2 linked regions of the Arabidopsis thaliana genome follow. The protein of the gene in region 1 interacts with the protein of each later gene in a biochemical or structural test. Each region holds a gene or a part of one and is shown on either strand. Other genes may lie near its edges. The genes, in order: PEX19-2 and ABCD1.

Evidence for each region.
Region 2: the proteins of PEX19-2 (region 1) and ABCD1 form a complex in vitro, tested with the Arabidopsis thaliana proteins (one study listed by BioGRID).

What each region holds. Positions count from the first base shown.
Region 1 is NC_003076.8:5,785,852-5,790,063, forward strand, and holds PEX19-2 (peroxin 19-2), read right to left. Parts: upstream 2,454-4,212; 5' UTR 2,316-2,453; coding exon 2,270-2,315; exon of another isoform or gene 2,143-2,269; coding exon 2,103-2,142; intron 1,934-2,102; coding exon 1,645-1,933; intron 1,337-1,644; coding exon 1,020-1,336; intron 938-1,019; coding exon 892-937; 3' UTR 563-891; downstream 1-562. Other genes in the region: AT5G17560 (BolA-like family protein), read left to right, coding at 2,623-2,946, 3,282-3,349, 3,679-3,820. UniProt on the Arabidopsis thaliana protein: Contributes to morphology determination of peroxisomes, but not to import of peroxisomal matrix proteins. Required for proper post-translational import and stabilization of peroxisomal membrane proteins (PMPs).
Region 2 is NC_003075.7:18,486,450-18,491,570, forward strand, and holds the start of ABCD1 (peroxisomal ABC transporter 1), read left to right. Parts: upstream 1-1,984; 5' UTR 1,985-2,320; exon of another isoform or gene 2,321-2,687; 5' UTR 2,688-2,770; coding exon 2,771-2,832; intron 2,833-2,925; coding exon 2,926-3,211; intron 3,212-3,512; coding exon 3,513-3,737; intron 3,738-3,872; coding exon 3,873-4,070; intron 4,071-4,206; coding exon 4,207-4,661; intron 4,662-4,753; coding exon 4,754-4,889; intron 4,890-4,964; coding exon 4,965-5,043; intron 5,044-5,121. Other genes in the region: AT4G39840 (cell wall integrity/stress response component-like protein), read left to right, coding at 1-174. UniProt on the Arabidopsis thaliana protein: Contributes to the transport of fatty acids and their derivatives (acyl CoAs) across the peroxisomal membrane. Provides acetate to the glyoxylate cycle in developing seedlings.

The sequences.
Region 1 (4,212 bases):
ATATATATAAAGTTCAAAGGTCATAGCAAGAAAAATGAATATTTTGTTTTAAAAAAAGACATAGCTTTAAGTTTATAAGAAAATAGAGATGATTGCCAAAAGGAAAATGTATATGTTTGTATATTATCAAAATTTTATAACAAAATGTAGGCTCAAAATATAATTTGGGGTATATTTTGTCATATTAAGTTTTGTTAAAATTAAGTTATAATTTAATATTTTTAATTGTTTATCACAAATAAAAATTAATAAAAATACTTTTACTTCTTAAGAAGACAATTTATTTACATTTTTTGGGTCAAAATTGCTAAAATAGAATCAAAATCGGATTAATTTTGATTAAATTCTGGTTAAGTCAAACCGGATGAAAAATTATCAGTTAACTGGTCGGTTCAATTGGAGGCATAGTTTTAAGAACAAATCCGAAAGTATGTGTAGTTTTATCGAGATTAAAGTTTTTTATGATGGTTTTTTAAGTGGCTAAAAGTTTAGAGTGAAAAGTTGAGATTCCAACTAGTATAGGACCGAAAATTCAGCCAACCCATGAGACTATGATGCAATGCCTCTTTGGCTCTTTCCTCTTTTGATTTGACGTGACAAACCTTACATAGGACACTTCATTTATTGAACAGCCGAAATGAATTGGATGAAGAGCACGTTTATGTTTCAGTGAATTTATGAATTTGTGTGTAGAGATTCAAAATTATTCCAAAACAGAACTAACCAAAAGGAACAAGAACCGAAACCCAATAACTTTGGTATTCAGGTAAGAAAAAAAAAAGAACTTAAACAAGCTTTGCATTGTACAATGCACAAGAGAAACAAAAACATGTTCTCCATTCTTCAATGGCTGGACAAGGCCAAACAGTTTTCTAAAACCTGTTTCTTCCCTCACATTACACAACAATTTGGTGAAGACTCGAGCATGTCCGGAGACCTGTGAACATATATATATACAAAACTTAGTCACCTTGGGGTCTTTAAAGATCACAGAGATTCCAATAAGGAAGAAGACTTACATTTGGCCCAGACTAGCGAAATCAAAGCCAGGATCCATCTCTTGCACTATATCACTCGGTGGTTGTCCACACTCTTGCATCTTCTGCATTATCTCCATTATCTTGGTCGAATTGTTTGGTTCGTTCTCGTACACCAAGTTGAGTTCTTTGATAAGTTCATACTGGCGTGAATAACGATCGAATTCTTCCTTGTTTAGACTGGATTCATGCTCTTCTAGCCATTTTGGGTATCTTGCACCAATCTCTTTCATTGGTTCGTGAAGAATATCCTTCGATAACAGCTGTTGCATCATCGTGTCCACTATCGACTCCAAGTCCTAAACAAAAACATGGAAATTATGAAATGAGAAATCATAAAAACAAAACTTCTAGTGATCAAGACTACTTTCAAATGGTTCTGCAAACTAATTCTCATCTTCAATTGTGGTTTTTTCGATATTAGTATCAGTATCACTACTATTAACACAGCCTTCAAAACTACTTTGCAACATGTGTTACTACTCTGCAACAACCTTAACTAGATGAAACTTTAGTAATCTAATCTAATCAGAGAACTTGAAGATAAAGAGAACATTAAACTAGATAAGTATAGCAAGAAGTAACAACTCAGTTTGTGTATACTTACGTTAGACCCAGTAAGATTCTCGAATTGCTTGATCCAATCTTCAACCATAGCATCATCAGAACCTGTAGGTTGCTGCTTCGATGACAAGGACTCAAGTCCCTTCACAGTTTCTCTAGTTTGTTCCCTGAGTTTATCAAGTGCCTCAGTAACATGGTCCTCTTTAGCAATCTTTTTCTTTCCTTTCTTCTTACTCCTCATATCTGGTAACCCCATTCCAAGACCTTGAACCCCACTTGGCAATGACTCTGTCTCTTTTTTATCACCCTCTTCTTTCTTAACCCCTCCATTTCTACATAAATCCAAAGCTAATCAACACCACAATTCCCACCAAAAACATAACAGAACCTCTAATTTAGTATTGATGTAACCACAATCTCAAAACTCTAGAGCTAAGTAATCTAACCACGTGGCATAGATACAATTAGAGAGAGACAGAGATTATGAGAAAAAGGAGTAACCTTTGAGTAAGATTAAGATCCTTGAAATCATCCAAGGCACCTGAGAAAGACCCAGAATTCTAAATTATAGAAAACGAACCCACAAGAACAAAAACGTTTTTCACCAATCACCTAGAATTGGTGAACATGTTATCAAATCAAATTAAAATTCGTTAGGAAATTATTACTATCGAGAAGCTCGTCTAAGTCATCGGTGTGAGTATCGTTGGCCATATTCTCGAGTCTCTCTTCCTCAACTCTCGAAGAAACTCACAAAATTCGAAGAGGAAGAGAGAATTATCGCATTGAAGAGAGAAACAAATTTCCAAAGGCGGTGTTGTTCAATTGATCAAGTTCAGGATTCGATCCAACGGCTGACATTATTTCCATTAAAGAATTATATTATTAAAATCTTAAAATGACTTGAAACCACGAAAGCCCATTAAGTTTAACTGTGTTGTGTCGTAAGCCCATTTTTTCAAGAACCAACGACATTGCCACAGAACATTTTTTTTTTTTTTACTCGCAAGTCTCTCAAGCAATGGCGCAGACATTAATGGCGACAACTCGTCCGTACGTTCTTCTCTCTTCCACAAGAGCGAGTCTTTATCGCCTTTTTCAATCTTCAAAGAGACCCTTCGCTTCATTCTCAGCTCCTCTCGTGAGATTCACTAACTCGAGATGTGTAAGCGCCGTTTTGTCTCGTAAAGAGACTGCGCCGTCGTCGATTTACGGCAATAGAGTTTCTAGGGTTTCTGGGTTTGGTGCTTTGGACATTCGCAGCCTTAATTTCAGTACTAAATCCTCTCAAATCAATGATGCTGGTTCTATTGATCAAACCCTTATGCAATCCATGGAGCTAAAGGTTGGATTTTTATACCTCATTAACTAATTTCAGTGAAATTGATTCATTGTGTATGTTTCAGTGTCAATTCAATTTATAGGTTATAGTATTATTAGTGAATTTTTGAAGGAATTGATTGGATACTTGGTATTGGCAACATGTGTCATATTTAGTTGATGGAAACTTGGTATTGGCAACACGATTGCTCTCAGTAGCTCCAAAATGATCAAGATCACTAAGCTAAGATAATTAATGAGGAATCATGTCTCTTACTTATATGATTGAAGCAAACGATTCTTTTTTTCGATTTATCAACACATGTCTCTCTACTTATGAGGTTTTGGCTTCATTTGCAGATCAAAGAACAATTGAATGCAGAGTCGGTTACTGTAACGGATATGTCTGGAGATGGACGTCATGTCTGGTAAGTACTCTGATTTAACTCATTTTTGTCTTCCAATGATGATTCTTTATTACACTTGAGTGAAGTTGCAGATGTGTGTTATCACTGTTATGGATAGTGTTTAGTGAAGTTTGTTAGATATATAGATAAATTCATATTTTGAGATTCCTTTTCTTTCATTTTAATCACAAAAAAGTTTCAGGTTCAACAAGTAGTAGAATCATCAAAGTTGGGATATAAGTTAGTACTTATTCTTCTGCTCTTGATGGAATCCAGTCATAGATTCTTACTTTAACTTGTCATATTAGATGGTTCTGTTACTTAATACCAGTTTTGCTTAATATTTGTAGCATCAATGTGGTATCATCGGCTTTTGAGGGACAATCTGCAGTGAACAGACAAAGGATGGTCTACAAAGCCATTTGGGAAGAGCTTCAGAACGTTGTTCATGCCGTTGATCAAATGACAACAAAGACTCCTTCTGAAGTTTGAAGCGTTAAATTTTCCGAACTCTAAAAGGCTTCAATATCTTATATTATTTGATTAGCTGACAATGCTGTTTGTTTTATCAAAAAGAAAAAAGCAAAAGGAACTGATATACAGCTTTTGGTTATTTTTTAAGTACTTTGATTGGTTCTCTTGCAACCCGCCAACACATGTTAAGTGTTGGAGCGTTTGCGGTTTGCGGTTACACGTGTTTGGCGTTTTCAATCGCTCTAAATGAATAAGAACAAAATTAGCGTTTGTGGTGGCGGATTATCTTCAAAATAAACTTTATTCTCTACTAGCTAATGTTATCATTTCAAAAAAAAAAATTTAGTCGATAAATAGATTAAAATATATTTGTGGTCATAAAAATTATATGTATGCATGGAAACGTATCA
Region 2 (5,121 bases), on another chromosome or scaffold:
CATTATTACGTGGCGGTGTTTCATAGGGTGGTGCTTCGTCAGCCTCCGAAGACGAACTGGAAGATACACGGTGTGTATGCCACGTGTTTCCTTTTGATTTGTCTGTTATCTAATGCTGAGAGGAGGAAGAAAGAGTACTTGGAAGAAGGCGGTGACGAAGGGAAGAAAAATTGAAATTTTCTTTATTTTATTCTTCTCTATCTTTGTATTTTTATATTTTAAATTTTGAAAAATTCGGCAAAATTTTAGCTGAGAAATGCAATAGAAAGAACAATTACTGGTGGATGGTTGGAAACTTTTTTTAAAAACTTCAATTGTATTTATAATAAATCGATAAATGTGGAATAAAATTTCATAATCTCATTATAATTGTCTCTTTTTTTTCTTTGTAAAAATTACAAATATGTTGTGAAATGTGGACGGCGAGAAGAATGAATTAATTAAATGTTTTTCTTGATAACCGCGAAAATTAAATGTTTCTGTTTGAAATAAAAAAAATATGAGAAGTCAAAAATTAAATAAGGTGGGGTCTACGGAATCGTAGAGTCGACGACTTTCGTGAGGATGGGGCATTTCGGTCATTGAAGGAGTTACCGACGGAACTGGGTGCTGTAGTGTTTTATTGACTTGTGTCGGTGGATTGGCGATTGAGTGTGGGGCGTATGGTGAGAAAAATGGGGCTTTTGTGTCCTAACGTGTTGTTGTATGGGCCACTCATTTCTCAAGGCCCATCACCTCACCTCATATTGTGCCGGAATGTTGTTTTAACTTTATGACGTGACGTGTGTATTATGAAACTGAAAATAGAGTTCCTCCAACTTTGAATCTATTTTACAATTTTATTATTATTTTTTTTTTTTGTCAAATCATAGAAATTACATGCACAACTATCACGACGATAGAAATTTATAAGCACAATTAGCCAAATAAAAAAATCGAGGAAAAAGTTTCTAAATGTAGGCAATGCCCAAATGTCATAAATAGCCTACTTATTTTGTCAATCTTGTCACTTAGAAACTCGGCACTTGTATAAAAACGTTTCATTCAACTTTTGGTATCACATGTACATTATTCAATTGTGAATTCCTAAATTTATTGTGTGCTGTGATAATTCACCAGATCAACCAGTTTAAAGACCCGTGAACAAAAATGCCCATAACATTTTTTTGTATTGGGTTTCAATCAAGTTAAGGCCCATTTTGGTTTAGTATACGGATTGTGTTGGGCGAAAGGAGTGATGTAATATGTACTTATCAGAAACAAAGTAGGAAGACATCACAGTATCACAACATTGATTTGTGTGCTTCAATCATGCGGTGTACAATTTGCACTTTTCCCACTTCACAAAATTCACACCTTAAATATCAATTTGTGAAAAGTATTGACTTTTAACTTTACCAAATTAAACTCTTTTAGTGAACAATCTTTAACAACCATTTTATTTCACATATCTGATGACTCAATAATTCGTGCAAATTTCAAATGTCCTTGTATATTATCGTGTTTGAATTTCAACTTTTTTTCCAAACATGAAATAACAATCCATGATTTTATTGCTAATATGTCTATCATATATTTAAGTTTACAGACCAATCACAATTTCCTCAATTAGAAAAAACAAACTTACCAATGGAAGGATAGCAGTGTATGTCCATAGGACTCGACACTTCTATACATAGTACTATTTGTATTCAAATTATACATAAAGGAAATAAATCTGTCTATACATGGTTTTAGTACCAAGTTTTTTAATAAGAAAAAAGAAACAATTGATAGTTTGATACATTACCAACTAGGCTAAGATATTTTATTTATTTTTACAGTACAGCGTTAACATTTTTTTTAACGAGAATGAAACGGTGGCTAGAGTTACCTGAGTAAAAAATCTAAAAAATAAGGTAAAAATATCTGATAGCATTCGTAACGAAATCAATTAGTACTAGACAAGAAGATGGTATAAAAATAGAAGAAAAGTAAAAAATGGCACGAGTGAATATGTTCGCACGTGTAAAATAAGCGTCATCATCTTCTCCTCTTCCCAAGTTTCGGCTCTCACTTTCTCTCGTTCTCTCTCTCTCTCTCTATCTCTATCTCTCGATTTGGGGGAGTTCCGTCACGGTGGACTAGTACGTCTCGTTGCCGTTGGTGGCGTAGTCGGAATTAATTTCCTCGGCGTTGAGATTCACATGGTCTAGAATTCTAGCTAAGTGGTTGTTGTTGTTGTTACGATTTCCGATTTCTCGAGTTTTTTTTTTATATTTAGCTTCTGTTTCGTTTATCCCTCCCGGAGACACTCCTTGGTCGAATCTCTCATGCTGAGGTAATTCGTCATGGATTTGTTTAATTGCATAAGCTTTTTTGCAATTGTCTAAGCTTTTATCGGTTTGTTTTGTTTTTTGATTTACGAATCTAGATTTTGCGCTTTCTTATGTATGTAATCAGGATCAAATTTGCTGGGTTGTTAAACAATTTTTGTCTGTGTTAGGATTCTAATTACGCGTGTTACTATACATGAATCATTTTCATTGTTTTTCTTCTTGATCCAAAAGTGTGAGAATCTTACTTTAGGCGTAATTCACATTTTTTGCATTAATTTCAACGGTTACACGTTTTTTTTCTTTGCTTTAGATTTGTTATAATTTGGTTGTTCTAATATTCATAACCTTGGAGTTTTGGTATTACTTCAGGTGTTTTGGACACTTGTTGTCAAGAAGAAACCAGTTTTGGTTCTGATTAATCGTTGGTTGGAAAATATACTCAATTCCAGGCCATGCCTTCACTTCAACTATTGCAGTTAACTGAGCGGGGTCGGGGTCTTGTAGCGTCAAGACGGTAACCATTTCCTTGCTCTTCATTGTATTCTAGATGGAAGTTTTTTTTGTTCGTTTGGGCTCAGATTTCATCTTTCTCTGTTTCATTCTTTAGGAAATCTATACTGCTTGCGGCTGGGATTGTAGCTGCTGGTGGAACTGCTGTTTACCTGAAATCAAGGGTCGCTTCCCGGAGGCCTGATTCTTCGCGTCTTTGCAATGGTCAGAGTGATGATGATGAGACTTTGGAAAAGCTGACTGCAACTGATCAAAATGCAAAGATAACCACGAAAAAGAAGAAAGGAGGAGGATTGAAGTCTCTTCAGGTTCTGACTGCTATTCTTCTCTCTCAGATGGGAAAAATGGGTGCCAGGGATCTTTTGGCACTAGTCGCCACCGTGGTATGCATTTCCTCTTAATTAATAAGTTTTTACTTTTGTTTTATGTTTTTGCCCAAGTCAGATAGATTTTCTGTCTGGTTGTTTAAGTTTGATCTCGTGCTGTTGCAAAGTCCTGTAGATATTCATGGAAATTCACAATTGCGAACCGTTGCTTTATTGTTATGGAATACCGGGTGTCTCTCTTTTTAGCTGAAAGAAACACCAATCTAACTTTACGGCCAATAGTCGGGAAAAGTCTGGTTACTTCTCTTACTTATGCGGGACTAGTACTCTTTCCAATCTGTTATTCTATAACTTGTAGGTTTTCAGAACAGCTTTGAGCAATAGATTGGCAAAAGTGCAAGGTTTCCTTTTCCGTGCTGCTTTCTTAAGGCGTGCGCCACTGTTTCTACGGCTCATCTCCGAGAATATTATGTTGTGTTTCATGCTATCAACATTGCACTCTACTTCAAAGTACATAACTGGGGCATTGAGTTTGCGATTCAGAAAGATATTGACCAAGATTATCCATTCACACTATTTTGAGGTAGCAACTGCCATCTCTTCTGCCATTCAATTGTTTACTATTTCTTTAGATACGAGTGTTTTTGACTAGTGAGAGTATCGAGTATACTTCAGACTGCTGGATATCTCTTCACTCAGTTTTAATTGTTGTTTTCAGAATATGGTATATTACAAAATATCACACGTGGATGGTCGGATTACGCACCCTGAACAAAGAATTGCCAGCGATGTACCAAGATTCTCCTCAGAGTTGAGCGATCTTATACTGGATGATTTGACGGCGGTTACTGATGGAATTTTGTATGCATGGCGCCTGTGTTCATATGCTAGTCCAAAATACATCTTCTGGATACTGGTGATTCATGTTTAATCTTCTATACTTCAAGATTGACCTTATGTTGGGCCATTTATGCTGCTTTTCCTTGTATCCGTTCACAGTACAATTCTTTCGGTCTGGTATCTATAAACTAACCTATACAATTGTTGTGTAGGCCTATGTACTGGGGGCTGGGACGGCGATAAGAAACTTTTCTCCTTCTTTTGGGAAATTGATGTCCAAGGAACAGCAGTTAGAAGGAGAGTACCGGCAACTTCATTCACGCTTAAGGACTCATTCGGAAAGCATAGCATTCTATGGTGGGGAAACCAGGGAAGAATCTCATATACAACAAAAGTTCAAGAATCTTGTTAGCCATATGAGTCACGTGCTTCATGATCACTGGTGGTTTGGTATGATCCAAGATTTTCTGCTGAAGTATCTTGGGGCCACAGTTGCAGTTATTCTGATTATCGAACCATTCTTCTCTGGGCATCTAAGACCTGACGACTCGACCTTAGGAAGAGCTGAGATGCTTAGCAATATAAGATATCACACTAGTGTCATTATATCTCTCTTTCAGGCGTTGGGAACACTTTCTATAAGTTCCAGGCGGCTCAACCGACTCAGGTAATGCTTTATGTTGGATCTCATGTCAGACGCTTAAATGGTGAATACTGTTTAGCTGTTTCTAATTATTGGAATGTTGTTGCTTCCGGCAGTGGTTATGCTGACCGAATCCATGAGTTGATGGCTGTCTCAAGAGAACTCAGTGGTGATGATAAATCGTCTTTCCAGAGAAATAGAAGCAGAAATTATCTAAGTGAAGCTAATTATGTAGAGTTTTCCGATGTCAAGGTAGTTGGAATAGATTCATGTTACTGTAATCCTTTCCAAAATGTCGTGTTCTTAATGTTTCTTAACACACTCTAGGTTGTTACTCCAACCGGAAATGTTTTGGTGGAGGATCTCACCCTTCGAGTTGAGCAAGGGTCTAATCTTCTGATTACAGGTGAACGCTTTATATCTAGAACATAATATGACTATCAATTTCCCTTTTCATTGCTTTTTTTTTTTGCACAGTAAAGCG